Tamandua tetradactyla: one gene and its partner. The protein of the gene in region 2 interacts with the protein of the main gene of each other region in a biochemical or structural test. Links are inferred from orthologs where the notes say so. Each region holds a gene or a part of one and is shown on either strand. Other genes may lie near its edges.

Evidence for each region. The genes of interacting proteins can lie anywhere in the genome.
Region 1: the proteins of GABBR2 (region 2) and KCTD12 form a complex in vitro, tested with the Homo sapiens proteins (2 studies listed by BioGRID). The link is inferred for Tamandua tetradactyla from reciprocal best matches to the Homo sapiens genes GABBR2 and KCTD12.

Annotation. Positions count from the first base shown.
Region 1 is NC_135330.1:144,650,944-144,658,035, reverse strand, and holds the start of KCTD12 (BTB/POZ domain-containing protein KCTD12), read left to right. Parts: upstream 1-4,084; 5' UTR 4,085-4,460; coding exon 4,461-5,444; 3' UTR 5,445-7,092. UniProt on the Homo sapiens protein: Auxiliary subunit of GABA-B receptors that determine the pharmacology and kinetics of the receptor response. Increases agonist potency and markedly alter the G-protein signaling of the receptors by accelerating onset and promoting desensitization.
Region 2 is NC_135328.1:15,904,041-15,911,646, forward strand, and holds the start of GABBR2 (gamma-aminobutyric acid type B receptor subunit 2), read right to left. Parts: upstream 3,010-7,606; coding exon 2,695-3,009; intron 1-2,694. UniProt on the Homo sapiens protein: Component of a heterodimeric G-protein coupled receptor for GABA, formed by GABBR1 and GABBR2. Within the heterodimeric GABA receptor, only GABBR1 seems to bind agonists, while GABBR2 mediates coupling to G proteins.

The sequences.
Region 1 (7,092 bases), on a different chromosome or scaffold from region 2:
AAACATTCTTAAATTATGAACATTCCATTCTTGGCATATAGTCAGTGACTCACAATATCATCACATAGTTGTATATTCATCACCATGATCATTTCGTAGAACATTTGCATCACTCCAGAAAAAGAAATAAAAAGAAAAAAGAAAAAAACTCATGCATACCATACCCCTTACCCCTCCTTCTCATTGACCACTATTAAACTTTATTTTTCTTTAATTCCTCTATATCCAATTCTTTTCTCCCTCTGAATGCAAAATTTTATTGATGTAAATGAGTTTTAAAGCCTGCGTAAAGAAAAGATTTGCACATACTGGGAGGATGATAAATGGACTAAATGTTTGTTCACAACAATTTTTGATTCCATCTGTACCCCATTTTTTTCACAATGTTCATTGTAATGTTTCTGCCATTCATTTATTCATTCGGTATTCAATGAGCAGACATGTCGGGTACCATGCTGGGAGGTAGACAACAATGATTCTGACAGCTGGGTGGTGGTTTTCAGCTTGCAAATCGTTTTTATGGATATTAAATTCATTCACTCCTCAGAGGCACATACTTCACTTAACCCCAGTTCTGCCTCCCTTTTTGACTTTATTCTGTTCATATTCCTCATTCCTTTTCTCAAATCTTTGGTGGGCAGGCTCTTTACTAAGTGCTTTGATATAAAGGGGTAGGGGAAGATGTTTGGAAGAGAAGGTAGAAAAGGAGAGGAAAAATGTAAAACATGAAAATTTAATTCAGAGATGTTTCCTATACCCCACACTTTCAGGTAAAAGGACGAAGTATTTCTGAGGCACACTGTTTTTATTTAGTAAGGTACAAAGAGCCACCTGAAGAGCAGCAATGGCCTTTCATGCACTCAACACTGGAAACTGGGCTGAGACTAGACATAGGCCAGTGGTTTCCCAAATCCTCTCCTTCTTCTAATAAAGCCTATTGGTCATACTGGAGATGCCAGATTTATGACCGCCTTTCCCCCCACAAACACCCGGGCCTCAAGTCCCAGCATCAAAGTATTTCCTCTTGAATTTTGTGACATCAACCAATAGGCAAGAAATAGTATACAGAAAATTAACCAGAAAACTATTCCTTCCGTCTCACCTCACCTGTTTCATTCATTTCATGTTTCTCATGCACAACTCAGGCTCTTGTAAGGAAGAGTCAATGGGCTTTCCTGCAGTAGACTAGCTCAAGAATATGCTGTCTCAACAAGAGGAGGACGGCGATAGTACACTGCTTGTGTATAGGCTCGCAGTATCACTCACTTTTCAGCTTGTGATAATCTCTTCAAGAGTACTTTGGAGATTCACAGGACATACACTAAAGTTCTACTGGGAAACAAACCGAGTTTGCTTTGCCCTGTGTCTGGAATGCTCTTCCCCCAGAACTTCCCATGGCTGTCTCTTCCTCATCATTCAGTTCACATGTCACTTTCATGGAGAGGTTCTCCAGACACTCTATAAAAGTAGTATCCTCACACTCGGTCCCTCTATCCCATGTCACTCCTTTGTTTTCTTTGTGGCACTTATCATCTGAAATTGATGATGAAATCTGCCTCTTTCACAAGACTGAAAATTCCAATAAGACAAAGATTTCTTTTTAAAAATGCACTGCTGGGAATTTAATAGTAGGCCTTTAATAAATATTGGTGGAACAACAGATATTTTATATTGAATGTTTGTTATATGCCAACTCTGTTCTAGGTTATGGTGTTGCAGCAGGGAATTAAGCAGACAGAAATCTCTGAACTCTTGGAATTTACATTCTAATGCAGGAAACAGACAAACACATAAGTAAAATCCCTAGTGTGGAGGCAGGGGAGTGGGGTAATGCCAGGGTAGGGGGGAGAGGTGGGGATGAGGGGATAAGTGATTTAGGCAAAATGAACAGCAAGTTCAAAGGCCCCCAGGGGACCATAAGGGCCTAATGCCTGAAGCCAATGAGTTCCTGGGGGAGTGTGGGGTGGCTGTGGGGTGGCTCCAGATCTGATCATGTAGAGTTTTGTAGGCTGGTGAAAGGACTTTATGCTTCACTCCTGTGTGAGACAGGAAGCTGCTGAGGAGCTTTTGAGCGGAACCGCATGGTCTGATTTAGGTTATAATGGGAATGCTGTTTTGTTCTGATGAGAAAAGACTATGGGGGCAAAGGTGCAGGTAGGGGACAATGAAATAATCCAGGCAAGAGATGACAGTGGCTTGGTCCAGGATGGTGGCAGGGAGATGGTGAGATGTGTTAAGAGTCTGGAAATATTTCAAAGGTAGGGCTGACAGATTTGCTGATACAATGGATAAAGTAATGATGAAAAAAAAAGTGTGAAATTGATACAAGGAAGGCTTTTCTTGGATTTAAAGAAAAGAGACTGGTTTTGTCAGGTCTGTGACACTGATATAACAAATAGTAGCACAGCCACCCAGGAATTCTGCATTGGAACTTGGAACTTTTGTGTCGTCTATTATTTATGGCAAAGAACAAAACAAAATGGAATGGTGAAATATATTCAGTAACAGAAACTGTTCTTGCAGTTAAGCAAGCTGGTTTGGGGCTTAATCTTATTTCAGCATACTGCCATAAGTAAATTAATTGTTCAGCAGACAAACATTTCTAAATAAAAATGCACAACCCTGAGGAGACTGGAAAGTTCGTTGAGTAGTTACACAAAAGGGTAAACATTATTAGCAAGAACCAGGGTCTCACCTGATTTATCAAGATTGAAGATCTGTACTTCAAATTGATCTGATGACTGCTCACACCTCTGGGTCTCTGCCTCCTGCGCTGCACTGAAGACAGCTTCTTCGAGAATATTCAAGTTTGCATTCCTTACCTAGTATAGAGCCTGGTCTGTAGGTGCACAACAAATACTAACTCTTCATTGCTCTCTCCTGGTCTCTCTATATAGTGCTCAGGAACACTTTTCGAATTAAACAAACAAAAAATTAATTTCTTTTACAAAAGTCAGTGATTCGATTTTCTCAAAATAATGAAACGTAATGGATGCCAACATGTGTAACGAGCAATCAATCCCTAGGTCCCTTCTGAGCAGGCAGCCAGGGAAGGCTTCCAGGGGGAGAAGGAATCCTGCAGGCTGAGACCTGAAGCGAATGTAGAGCGAGAAAGATTCAGAGAATACTGGATTCAGACATATGTGCAAAGGCCTGAGACTGGAGGGAACCTGGAACACCCTGAACCGAATGACCGATGCACGCAGAACCCAGGCGCTTGGATCTTTGAGTGGATAAATATGTTAAAGGAGAGCCAAAGGCTGAACGGTGCCTTTATAAATTGCTTTAGATCTGCAAACCCTCTGAGTTTTATAGAACAATTCACTCAGGGCCAAAAGGTACCCAGAGATGGTGCGTTCCTGTCAGTCCACTATACCCATTCCCTGTAGAACGGCTTCTAAGGCGCTCAGTAGGTAAGACGCCTCGGCTGCAACCCTCAGGGGAAGGCGCCCTTAAGTCACTCTTTTAGCTCGCCTTAGTTCCCTTGGTTGCTATTTCTGCTCATTCCACCCCCCCCCCCCATTTTAGTGTCTCCCAACCAATGACTTTGTCTCCGCACCCATAAAATCGGCTATCGAAGAGCGTCCTGCAGCAGAACGCTCTAAGTTAGCCTTTTATTTCTAGGATTTACTCGAAGCCATTGAGTAACGAGAACAATATCTGGCGGCCACAACTCCCCACCCCCCCACCCCCCATGGGGCGGCTCCTGTGACTCTCCAGCTTTTTCTTCTATCTCAAGTACGTTCATCGACACAGCAATTCAGTTCAGAACAGCTAGTTCCGGGGGGCGGCCCGGCCGGAGGCGTCCACGCCCTTCCCCTCTCCCGGGCTAGGCCAGAAAGTTGACATCCTCCTTCCAGAGTCAGCGGGGGCGGGGAGGAGTCGGGTGGGGTGTCAGGGAGCGCAGTGAGTGCCCCTCGAACCGAAAGTCCGTTCTTCCGAAGTGGCCTATCCCAGGCCTTCTCCACTTCGGAAGAGAAAGTTGGGCGGGAGCGGGAAAGGGTTGGGGCGCGGAACAGGACGGTGGGGGTGGGCTGGGTGGTCCACGCCGCGCGCAAACCCGGGTGGAGCCTGCAGCCAGGAGCGGCGTCAGCGTTTAACATGCAAATCGATTCCCAGCTCCCTCCCTCCGCCACCCCCACCCCTGCTGGGGGAGCGGGGATACGCGGCTCTGCAGCCGCCCACGCCTCCTCCTGCGCGCCGCGGCGCTCCAGCGGGTGGCTCTACTTAAGCCGAGTGCTGGCCGCGACCCGACACTCGCCTGGAGTGCGCGGGCGAAGAGGGCTCTCCGCACCCGGGTGCACAGTCGCGTGCTCTCACCGCTAGGTACCGTGCGGCTCTCGGCGGCGGTGGCTTGAGCTCAGGGCTCTGCGAGCTTTCCGGAGTCGTGACTCCGGGAAGGGCGGCTGCGGCTCCTGCGCGCGACCCCGCTCCCTTCGCCTGCCCCAGCCTTCTTGGCCATGGCTCTGGCGGACAGCACACGTGGATTACCCAATGGGGGCGGCGGCGGGGGTGGCAGCGGCTCCTTGTCCTCGTCGGCCGAGCCGCCGCTTTTCCCTGACATAGTGGAGCTGAACGTGGGAGGCCAGGTGTATGTGACCCGGCGCTGCACGGTGGTGTCGGTGCCCGACTCGCTGCTCTGGCGCATGTTCACGCAGCAGCAGCCGCAGGAGCTGGCCCGGGACAGCAAAGGCCGCTTCTTTCTGGATCGAGACGGCTTCCTCTTCCGCTACATCTTGGATTACCTGCGGGACTTGCAGCTTGTGCTGCCTGACTACTTCCCCGAGCGCAGCCGGCTCCAGCGCGAGGCCGAGTACTTCGAACTGCCGGAGCTCGTGCTCCGCCTCGGGGCGCCCCAGCAGCCCGGCCCCGGGCCGCCGCCGCCGCACTCGCGGAGCGGGGTGCACAAGGAGGGCTCTCTGGGTGACGAGCTGCTGCCGCTGGGCTACGCCGAGCCAGAGCAGCAGGAGGGCGCCTCGGCCGGGGCGCCGTCGCCCACGCTGGAGCTGGCTAGCCGAAGCCCGTCCGGGGGCGCCGTGGGCCCGCTGCTCACGCCGTCCCAGTCGCTGGACGGCAGCCGGCGTTCGGGCTACATCACCATCGGCTACCGCGGGTCCTACACTATCGGGCGGGACGCGCAGGCGGACGCCAAGTTCCGGCGGGTGGCGCGCATCACCGTGTGCGGCAAGACGTCGTTGGCCAAAGAGGTGTTCGGGGACACCCTGAATGAGAGCCGGGACCCCGATCGGCCCCCTGAGCGCTACACCTCGCGCTATTACCTCAAGTTCAACTTCCTGGAGCAGGCCTTCGACAAGCTGTCCGAGTCGGGCTTCCACATGGTGGCGTGCAGCTCCACTGGCACCTGCGCCTTCGCCAGCAGCACAGACCAGAGCGAGGACAAGATCTGGACCAGCTACACCGAGTATGTCTTCTGCAGGGAGTGAGCTCCCCAGAACCCCCTCGCGGACTCCGGCGCCCTCTCCCTCCCTTTCCTTGCCCGGGAGATGATTTTAGTTCCCACCCTTCTCGCCCCTCTCACCCATCAACCTCTCCATGCCTCCACTCCGTCTCACTCCCGAAACTGGGGCCCGACCCCTTTGTCACAAATTCCAGAACTTGCAGTTGCAAACCCTCTCAGCTTCTTCGTTTTCTTCGGACCCCTCTAACCGAGAGAGCCCAGGTGTACCCGAGCTTCCTCCATCCCTTGCCTCAAACCACCCCTCCCCCTCCCCCAGATTGTCCTTCAGTCTCGATGGACTGGGTCAGTGTGGCCACGAAGTGACTGAATTGTTCAGAACCTGATTGGACATGTCCAGTGTGTAGAAGATTCCTTGAAACCTTCTGGAGCCTTATGACTCATTCGGGGTTTAAGAGATTAGAATTGATAACACTGGGATAGTTACCGTGTTTTCAGAGGCCATTACAGTCTTTAAAGGTGGTTATTTAGAAGTTTGAATGAAAGACTGGTCCTAGAATTAGGACCCTATTGAGGCCATTCGGTGATTGTAAGTAATGCATTTTGAAAAGTTATAGGTAGAAGTAGAATAATCTAGTGCTGGCACAGTGGAGGAGCGTATCTTTTTCAAACAGCATAAAAAGATCCTCGCCTGTCGCTTAAACTTGTAGAACGTGACCCTGCTGCCTGCGTGACCCTTTCTCCTTGACTCTTTGCTGGAAGCCCCTTGGTTCGACTTCAGTTGACATGGCAGACGTTATTGACAAGAGGGAGCAAAAGCACCACCGCCCGAAGAGGGCACATGTGGGAAAGTTCCCTCTCAATGACTTTAAAACAGAGCTGGGTAGGAAAGCACGTGGTAGGTATAAGGAAAGCCCGTATTCTTGCAGTGTATGGCAGTAGGACCTTCTGTAGCTTGTAGGACTTGGGGTTGGGGAGGGGGGGAGGCTGGGAGGGAGGAAGAAGGGAGGAGCAGACATACTGATTTATTATTTGAAATTTGAACGTTTCTGCCATCCGTTTGAGTACATGCACTTTTTCTTTTAAATATCAAATAGTACATGAAAACATGCAAAGCATTTTATAAAATTAACTACAGACCTACTTTTGACTGGCAGTTCTTGAACTGTCTTGAGTCCTATTAGAAATTGCTGATACTTATATAATCTAACCAAAGAGTTACCCAGTGAGATTTTGGTTTTTGAACTTTTTCTTTTTGAATATAAATTCCGATTTTAAAATCTATTTACTTGAGCAAAATATGTTCATTTTGATTAAAGATCGGTTATTAAAAATCTGTATTTTGGGGTTCGTTTCCTGGTGCCTGCCCTTGCAAAAAAAAAAAAAAAAAAATCCGTATTTTCCTAAGCTCAGCACATATTCTGCTGAGCAAACCTGAAAATGTCACTTTGCATTCTTCTTTTATGCCATTTGTTTGAAGGTAAGGTGGAATCTTTTCAAGGGACAGGACTGCACAGAAACGGAAGCACCAAGGGCTGCCCATCTGTAGATAGCTGTAAGATGGAATATTTTTAAATGAAGGCAGATAAGTACGTAAAAGTGAGCTGAGCAATAAAATGCTGTTTTAGGTAAATGAAACAGAAGGAGACCTGGTTGCCTTATGCCTTTACTCTAAC
Region 2 (7,606 bases):
CACCCTGCATTCGAGTCTACACTCGACAAGTGACACGGCCTGCCAGTCATTAGGCAGTATGTAGTATCCACAAAGATAGCTGATCCAAAGAAAGCAGGCTCCAAACAGTTTTCCAGGTGTTTGTGGATTTTGCTACAAATGACCCAGACTCATCTTTCCTTTACTCCCGCTTCACTTTTAAAGATGAGGCTATTTGAAAAAATTAAGCAATTGTATCACCTGGGTGTTCTCCCAAATAGGACACTTGCTGCTGGGCAATATTTGGCTGTAAGCCAGAATTATTTTTTTCTGCCAATAACTTCATCAACTCTTCTGGAGATTTCAAAAGCAAATAAGCAGCCATAATATTTAAGCAATGACCATTTTATCACATCTAATGCCACAGCATCTTACTTGTGAATTCATGCCAGGAGAAATCCAAAGAAAGGAGGCAGAAAACATTTATTTAGTGCTTATTGCATGCCAGAGAGCTCAGTGGCTCTGTCCTTATCTTCCTTAAGCCTTGCCCTGCTGCTCTGCAGAGTACATATAATATTCTTTTTTTTTTCAGATGTGGAAATCTAGGCTTAGGGAGATTAAATGCTTCACCCAAGGTCACCCAGGGGAAAAGGAACCAGTTTCTACTAGAACCCAGATCCGACCCACCCGAGTCCACCCTGTGTCCCTTACTGGCCCTCAAAGGGTAGAGATGCTTCCTCTCTGCATGCGGCTGGGGTCAGCCTCTGCTGTCCTCCTTCCCACTGTTTCCTAAATATTCCTACAGACTGAAGAGCCTTCTCACTGGCTCATCCTCTCGACTTTGGGGCCTCTCACTCAGAAAGTCATCAAGGCACCCTTGAAAAATAAAACGTAAGAGCTTCAACGGTCAGAAGCCAAGCATCCATCTCTCTGCTGCCACAAACAGGATAATACAAAATCTCTTTCAGGGAAGCTTTTTAAAGGGAATAAATTGACAATGAAAACATTATGCAGTGGACAATATCTGGTGATGATGCAAGCAGAGTAGCCCTGTCTACAAATGCTTTTGTCTCCAGAAAACCGGCTCTCCGGGGTTCCTTCCAAGAGAATATGTATGCACGAAACAGAGAAGCAGAGTCAAGAAGATAACGTGTCGGTGGCGGCCGTGTATTTGCACTGCTTTCTCCATTTACGTGTATAGGACCAGAACCCCAGGGGACTTGAAATGTTCTGGCAAAGCTGGGGAGATAGGAATGCCACTCAGAAATGATTACACACGGGGGTTAGCCCTGCACGGCCACCCTGTTCACACCCTCCCAGGGCAGAGGCTGCTTCTCCTCCTGCAACAGCCTGCGCACACCGCCACCAACTGCCACTCGCTCCTTCACCTTTTATTTACAGCGCAGAGCAGGCTGGTTCATCAGGGGAGGGGGGAGGGGGCGGGGAAGAAGAGACAATCCAGATTTCTGTTTTCTCCAGGGACATAAAAAGGGTCAGAGAGCGGAGGAAGCGGAGCCCGGGCTACATGATCAGTAAAGCAGCGCGACCCTTCTCCCCAAAGGGGGCTGCACCTGGATTGAGCAGAAGCGCCCAGGGTGCCGGGGTCAAGCCCAGCGAGCGCTTGGCCCGGCTTGGCGCGGTGGAAGAGGCACCAACCGAGTATAGTGCACGGGAAACCACTGCCCCCTTCAGGCCGCGTCTAGGGCGCTACGGCCCGAGCGTAGGAGCTCCCTCTTGTCCCGGAAAACTCGCAAACCCGACCTTGCGCGGCGGGCCACGGCTCCTCTAAGTCCCCTCCGCGCGCCCTAGTTCCCACGTCCAGGTGGGCAGCCAAGTTCCGCGCTGAGCTTTAGCCGGAATAGAAGCCTAGGGCGCGGGAAGGGAGCCTGGGATGGAAGAGCCCGGCATCCCCCGCTCCACTTGGAGGAGGCCGGGAAAGGGAAGCCCGCTGCTGCGCTCCAAGTCCGGGCTCCGGCTCCTAGGACGCTGCAGCTCAGCGCCGGGAGAAATTACTCCTGCAGCCGCCCGACCAAGAGCAGTGGCGAGGCCAGACACCCCGCGCGGCCGGGCCGAGACCTGCCCAGGGCACTCTCTTAGTAACTAACCCGAAGAGGGTCTCCTCGTGAAACCGCTTGGGCTGCAGGCAGCGCCGGGCAAAGCCAGGCTGCAGCGCTGCAGAGCGGGCGGCCCCATACCCGCCCGCGCCGCCGTGCGTACTCCGAGCCGCTGGCGCGCACCAAGTGTCCAGCCCCAGGGCGCGATCGGGCCCCTCGGGTCCTGGAGCCCTCCGGACCTCAGAGCGCAGCTCGGCTGTCCACCAGCCCCAAGTGGCCCGGTTTGCCGTCAAAGCGCCTGTTCCCCCCAGCCGCCACCCTCACAGCCCCACGAGCGGATCCTGGGCAGGGACAGCCACTGCAGGCTTTTGGGGGTCCAGTCCTCGACTCCTCCTTCTCTGGTCAAAGGACACCCTAATCTATCCAACACCCCCCGCGCATACATGAACACACACACAATCCCAGAGGAGGGGGGAATGCTCGGCCAAGCTTGATAGCAGCTGTGCCAGCCAAGCCCCGGGGGACCCCGGCGGGGTAAGCACTGAGCAGCAGCCCGCGGTGCCTTCGGTAGGCGCGGACGGGTCAACCGGGGCTCCGGCCTCAGGCCGGCGGCCTGCCCCTGTCCAACCCCAAGCCCGATCGCCTCCCGGAGCCCCGACGGAGCGCGCGGCCGGACGCTCACCTCGGTGTCGTAGAGCCGCAGGTCGAGGAAGTAGGGGCGCAGGAGCGACTCGTTGCGGATCTGCTCGATGGCCAGTTCCACGGCGGGGAGCACGCCGCGCCCGATGCTGCCCTTGGCCACCTCCTTGGTGAGCGGCATGAGGCCCATTATGGAGAGCGGCGGGCTGCTGGGCGGCGGCCGGGGGGCGCCCCGCGTCCAGCCCCAGGCCCCGGGCGCCAGCGGTAGCAGCAGCGGCAGCAGCAGGAGCAGCAGCAGGCGCGCAGGCGGCGGCGGCGGCGGCGGCCCGGGCTGCCCGGAGCTCGGCGGGGAAGCCATGCCGCGCCGCGGGCTGCGGGCGCCGGCTCACTCGGCCCGCATGGCCTGGCCCGGCCCGCCGCCCCGCGCCCAGCTCTCCCCGCGGCGCCCGCGCAATGGCGCCGGCCCCGGCCCGGGCCCCGGCTCCGGCTCGGGCTCCCACTCGGGCTCCGGCTCGGCTCGGAACGGCCGCGGCGGCGGCGCCCGTGACGGATCAATCACGCCGGGAAAGGGGTGGGAGCGAGCGGAGTGCGGGAGGCGGGGAGCGAGCGAGCGATCGCCGAGAGGGGGGCTGGCGTCTCCGCGCGCGCCTCTCCGCGGCGCGGCCGCCCCGCACCGGGCCACCTCCGCCCGCCCCCGTGCGCGCTCGGCGCCGCTCTCCCGCCGGGAGCTGCGCGGCTGCCGCCCCTGGAGCCCCGCCGGGGGAGGGCGAGCGGGCGGCAGGAAGCGCGGGAGGCGAAGGCGAGGCTGCTCGGCCCGGGCTCGGGCCGCCTCCGGGGACGGGGACGGGCCGTGCGCGCCGGGGGAGGGGGAGGCACCGGCGCTGGCGCTGTCGCTGCGGCGACTGCGGGGAGGGCCGCTTTCCCGCACACGCACACACGCGTCCCCGGCCCGCTGACCGCCGGGGACCGCGCACTGGCACGCTTTCTGTGGCACCTGCGCGGCGGTTTGGGGCTGCTTCTCCGAGGTCTGGCCGGCGAGCGCGCCACGGAGACGTCCTAGCGGCACCTGCAGCCTACGCTCTCCTGCTCCGCGCGGTTGCTGGGGGAGGGGGGGGGAGGCTGGCCGGGCACGCAGGGGCGCCCGAAGACGACCCAGAGCTCTTGCACGCCCCTGGTGCTAGGCTGGCGGGCTCTTGGGGCCTGGTTGGGACCCCCACCGGATGGAGCAGCCGCCCTTTGCCACTCTGGGCGAGGCTGGGGTCCTCAGCTGCGTGCGCTATCGCCCCCTCCAGGCATATGTCCTCCCCGTGTACCCTCTCCAGAAGGTCCCCGCCCAAGACTTCTCCCCGGGTCGGAGCTCTGTTCAGGCCAGAACGGGGTCTGTGCGCCCTTGGCCTTGACCCACTCTGCAGGATCGCATGGGCCAACCGTGGGCAAAACACTCCTGGGCCCCAGATGTTCCCTTGTGAGCTGGCCTGGGGACTTGGGTCCCGTGTGCCTCCCGGTGATTGAAGGACGGGAATCGTGGCCAACAAAATATTCAAATCCCAGGGGTGGTTAAAGAGGAGGGACACCCTAGGACATGAAGTCAGAAAACATCGGTGGACCCGGACACAGCATCGAGGGCCATGTGGACAACCTTGTAACAACACAGGAGTGAAACCTTCACTAAGCGTAGAGCTTGAGGTGGCTTCCAAGGTAACACTCACTACCTCTGAAGGAGGCACTGCTCTCTTCACCCTCCTTTTGCAGGTGACTAAACTGAGGCTCAGAAAGCTTCCCTAACTTGCTGCAGTGCACAGTGCACTAGGAGCTGGGACGGGGGAGAGCAGGCCCCCGGGCCTCAGTTCCCTCTACCTGGCAGTGGGAGGGATGCATTCCTGGCCACTCACCTCCGCTCCTCCGCGGATCCACCGAGCCTCCTTGGAGAGAGGAGGCAGGTACCCATGGCGACAAGGATCACACTTCAGCACAAGCCTGTTCCTTCTGATCAAGGAGATCTTTATGTGTAGGTGTCCACGGTTGTGTTTGACCATTTATGGACAAAAGGCAGCCTGAGTGCAGAGGCAGAAGACCCAAATTCAAGTCCAAATTCAGTTGTTTGGACCAGACACTTCGCCTGTTTTGGGCCTCAGCTTTTTCATCCATAAAATGGGAACAACTGCTGTCCTGGCTCGCATTCCAGAGCAGCCTTTCTTTCCCAAGGACACAGGTACCTCCAAACACATCCCGGACATATCCTGAGGAGGAATTGGGTGCTACTGCGACATGGCAAACAGTTCTAAATAATGATTTTTGTGTCGTTTACTGAAGTGTGAGCGAGCACATTTTCCTTGTTCCTTAAAGTGGAAGGTGACAGAAGGAGGCTTTTCGGTGTCAATAAAAGCTCAGGAGCTGCCCCTATCTCCCCCTCATTCCTTTGTCAACCTACAATGGGGTTCTGAGCAAATAAATGTTTCAGTATCCCATTTGGAGAAGTAGAAAGTACTCATAAATTATTATTATTATAGAACATATTTTTTGCAATTATACATGATTATTATTCAGAGATAAGGGGACAGGGAATTAGCATTTGTTTTAATCTGTAAGCCTGTTTTGAACTCTGAGTAGTTGTTACTGTAAAGTGTTCGCTGATGCAAATTATTGACCAAAAAAATAATAACAGCTACTCTTATGTTTTGAAGGCCTGTTGAGAGCCAGACACTGTGCTAGATGCTTTAAACACATTTGTTCACTGAATTTCATGTAATTTTGGCGTTTTCCATAGGCAGGAGGTAGTATTATCTCCATATCACAGATGAGAATACTGAGCCTCAGAGAGGCTGTGAGATTGCTCAGGGCCATTTAGGTTAAGTGGGAGAGCCCAGCTCCCAGACAATACTTGATTCCAAAGTCTCTCCGCACGAAATCAAGAAGTCCATTTGCCCCAAGGCAGAAATCTCTGCTGACGTGTGACTCGTCCTTGGTAAGAATCCAACCTGGCCTGGGGCGGGACAGGGGCAGGGGCTGGGGGCAGCCCTGAACCGGAGGCCAGGTTACAAGGAAGCAGGAAAGCAACGGGGAGAGGCTGAGATGAAGTACCCTGGACAGCGCCAGGGAAACCAACCTAGATTCTCCCCACCCCAATTCTTCTTTCTAGGCTTCTGCAGGCACTTAACGTGCCCTCGCCCCCAAGCTAGAGGGTTTCTGTGAGCTCTGCATCTCTACTTTTGTCCTGCCAAAGGACAGTGTAATCCCCAGGGTGCTCAGCTGATATCTCACTGGCATCATAGGTACCCTCTATTCAGAGGCTCCGGGCACTTGCCACTCCTTAACTCCTCAGCTCAGGTTTCTGAATGAGCCTTCTCCCTTTTCTCTTTCTTTTTCCCTGAGTCATTTGTGCTTTCCTTATAAGCTGTGCCAATATGGAGTATCCGCCAACACCTACATCTAGGAATAAGTTGAAAGCTGGATAACTTTGCCGGACATTTACTAAGTGGTTGAGGACCCTGCCTGGCAACCTGGCCTTCAGCCCCCTGACCCCACTTACGGGGAGCCACATGGTGCATGCCCGGCCCTGACCTAAGGGGTGTCAGTCTCCCAGCCAGCCTCTCCGTCAGTCTGGCTACAGGCCAAGCTCCGACCTCATACCCCACTTCTGAGGCCAGGGCAGCCCTCTGTTTTCCAGAACCTACCCTGGCCTTGTGTTCCCAGTTTTGGAAGCTGGGTCCCTGGCGTGATTCCTAAGTCCCAGCTCCTGCCTTGGTCACCAGGCTAGAGTGCCTCCCTCTAGGGCCCGAGTCCAGCCTCATGTTTGTAATAATCTTTCATTCACTTATTTAGGCAATGTTTGGGGGGGGGGGTCCTATATTAATGTGCCAGGCTCTGTTCTAGGAGCTCAGGATACAGGAGTGAACAAACCAGACCAAACCCTTGCCCTCTTGGAACTTAGAGGTGACAGATAAAAAATAATAAGCATCATGATTCAGAATGTCAGTTTGTGGAAATCAAGAAAGATAGAGGCTGCTGGGGCAGATACCGTTGGAAATAGGGAGGTTTGAGAAGCACATACTGAAGGACATTTTGAGCAGAGACCTAAAGAACACGCAAACAGTGTTTCAGGGTCAGGAATAGAGAGCACAGAGGCTCTGACAAGTCAGTGTGCCTGGATTTTCAAGGAACAGTCCAGAAGCCAGTATGGCTGGAGCGGAGTGAGAGAGGGGAAACATGGTAGCACCCAAGGTCAACGGCAGGCTGAATTGTGCAATTCTGGGCGCTGTGAGGACTTGGACTTGGGTTTATATGGAACGAAATGGGGGACCGCTGGAAGGCACTGCATGGAGCACCTACTGGGTGAACACCTGTGGTAGAGGGAGAGAAGCAGGGTGACCAGTTAGGAGACTGTCACAATAAGCCATGGGCAGTGGTGAGAACCAGGATGGAAGCAGAGGAGGTAGGCACAAGTGGCTAGATTGGTCATCCTTCTTCTTCTCATTAATGGAAATGCAACATGCTGGCAGATCCCACCTCCCAAGACCCTGGTCAACACTTGCTTCGCATGAGTTCATCTACCTTACAAGAGTTACTTGCCCAGCATCGCTTCCTAAGATGTGATCAAGCACACATGTCAGCCCACATCTGTACGGCTTAAGTTCTCATCTTCTTTCCGTAACCCTGTCTGCTTAGGTAATCTTTTTCTCCCACGCCCTCTCCCTACATACAGAGCCAGTTTCTGAACTCCGACTCAGAGATCAGGGCTGTATCGAGGGATGGTGTCCACTCCCTTCCTGGGAGTTTCAGGGCTCCATGGTCCAGCTGCTTCTGTCCCTTTGAACAGAAACCCACCCCTGACGTCTGGCCAGGCCTCCCCCTGCTTCTGCCCTCCCGCAGCAGCTCCTCCCAGGAACTGGGTCCAGGGTCCCCCCCACTGCCCCATGGCTCTGGCATCCATGCCTGCCTCTTCCCCAACCCTGACC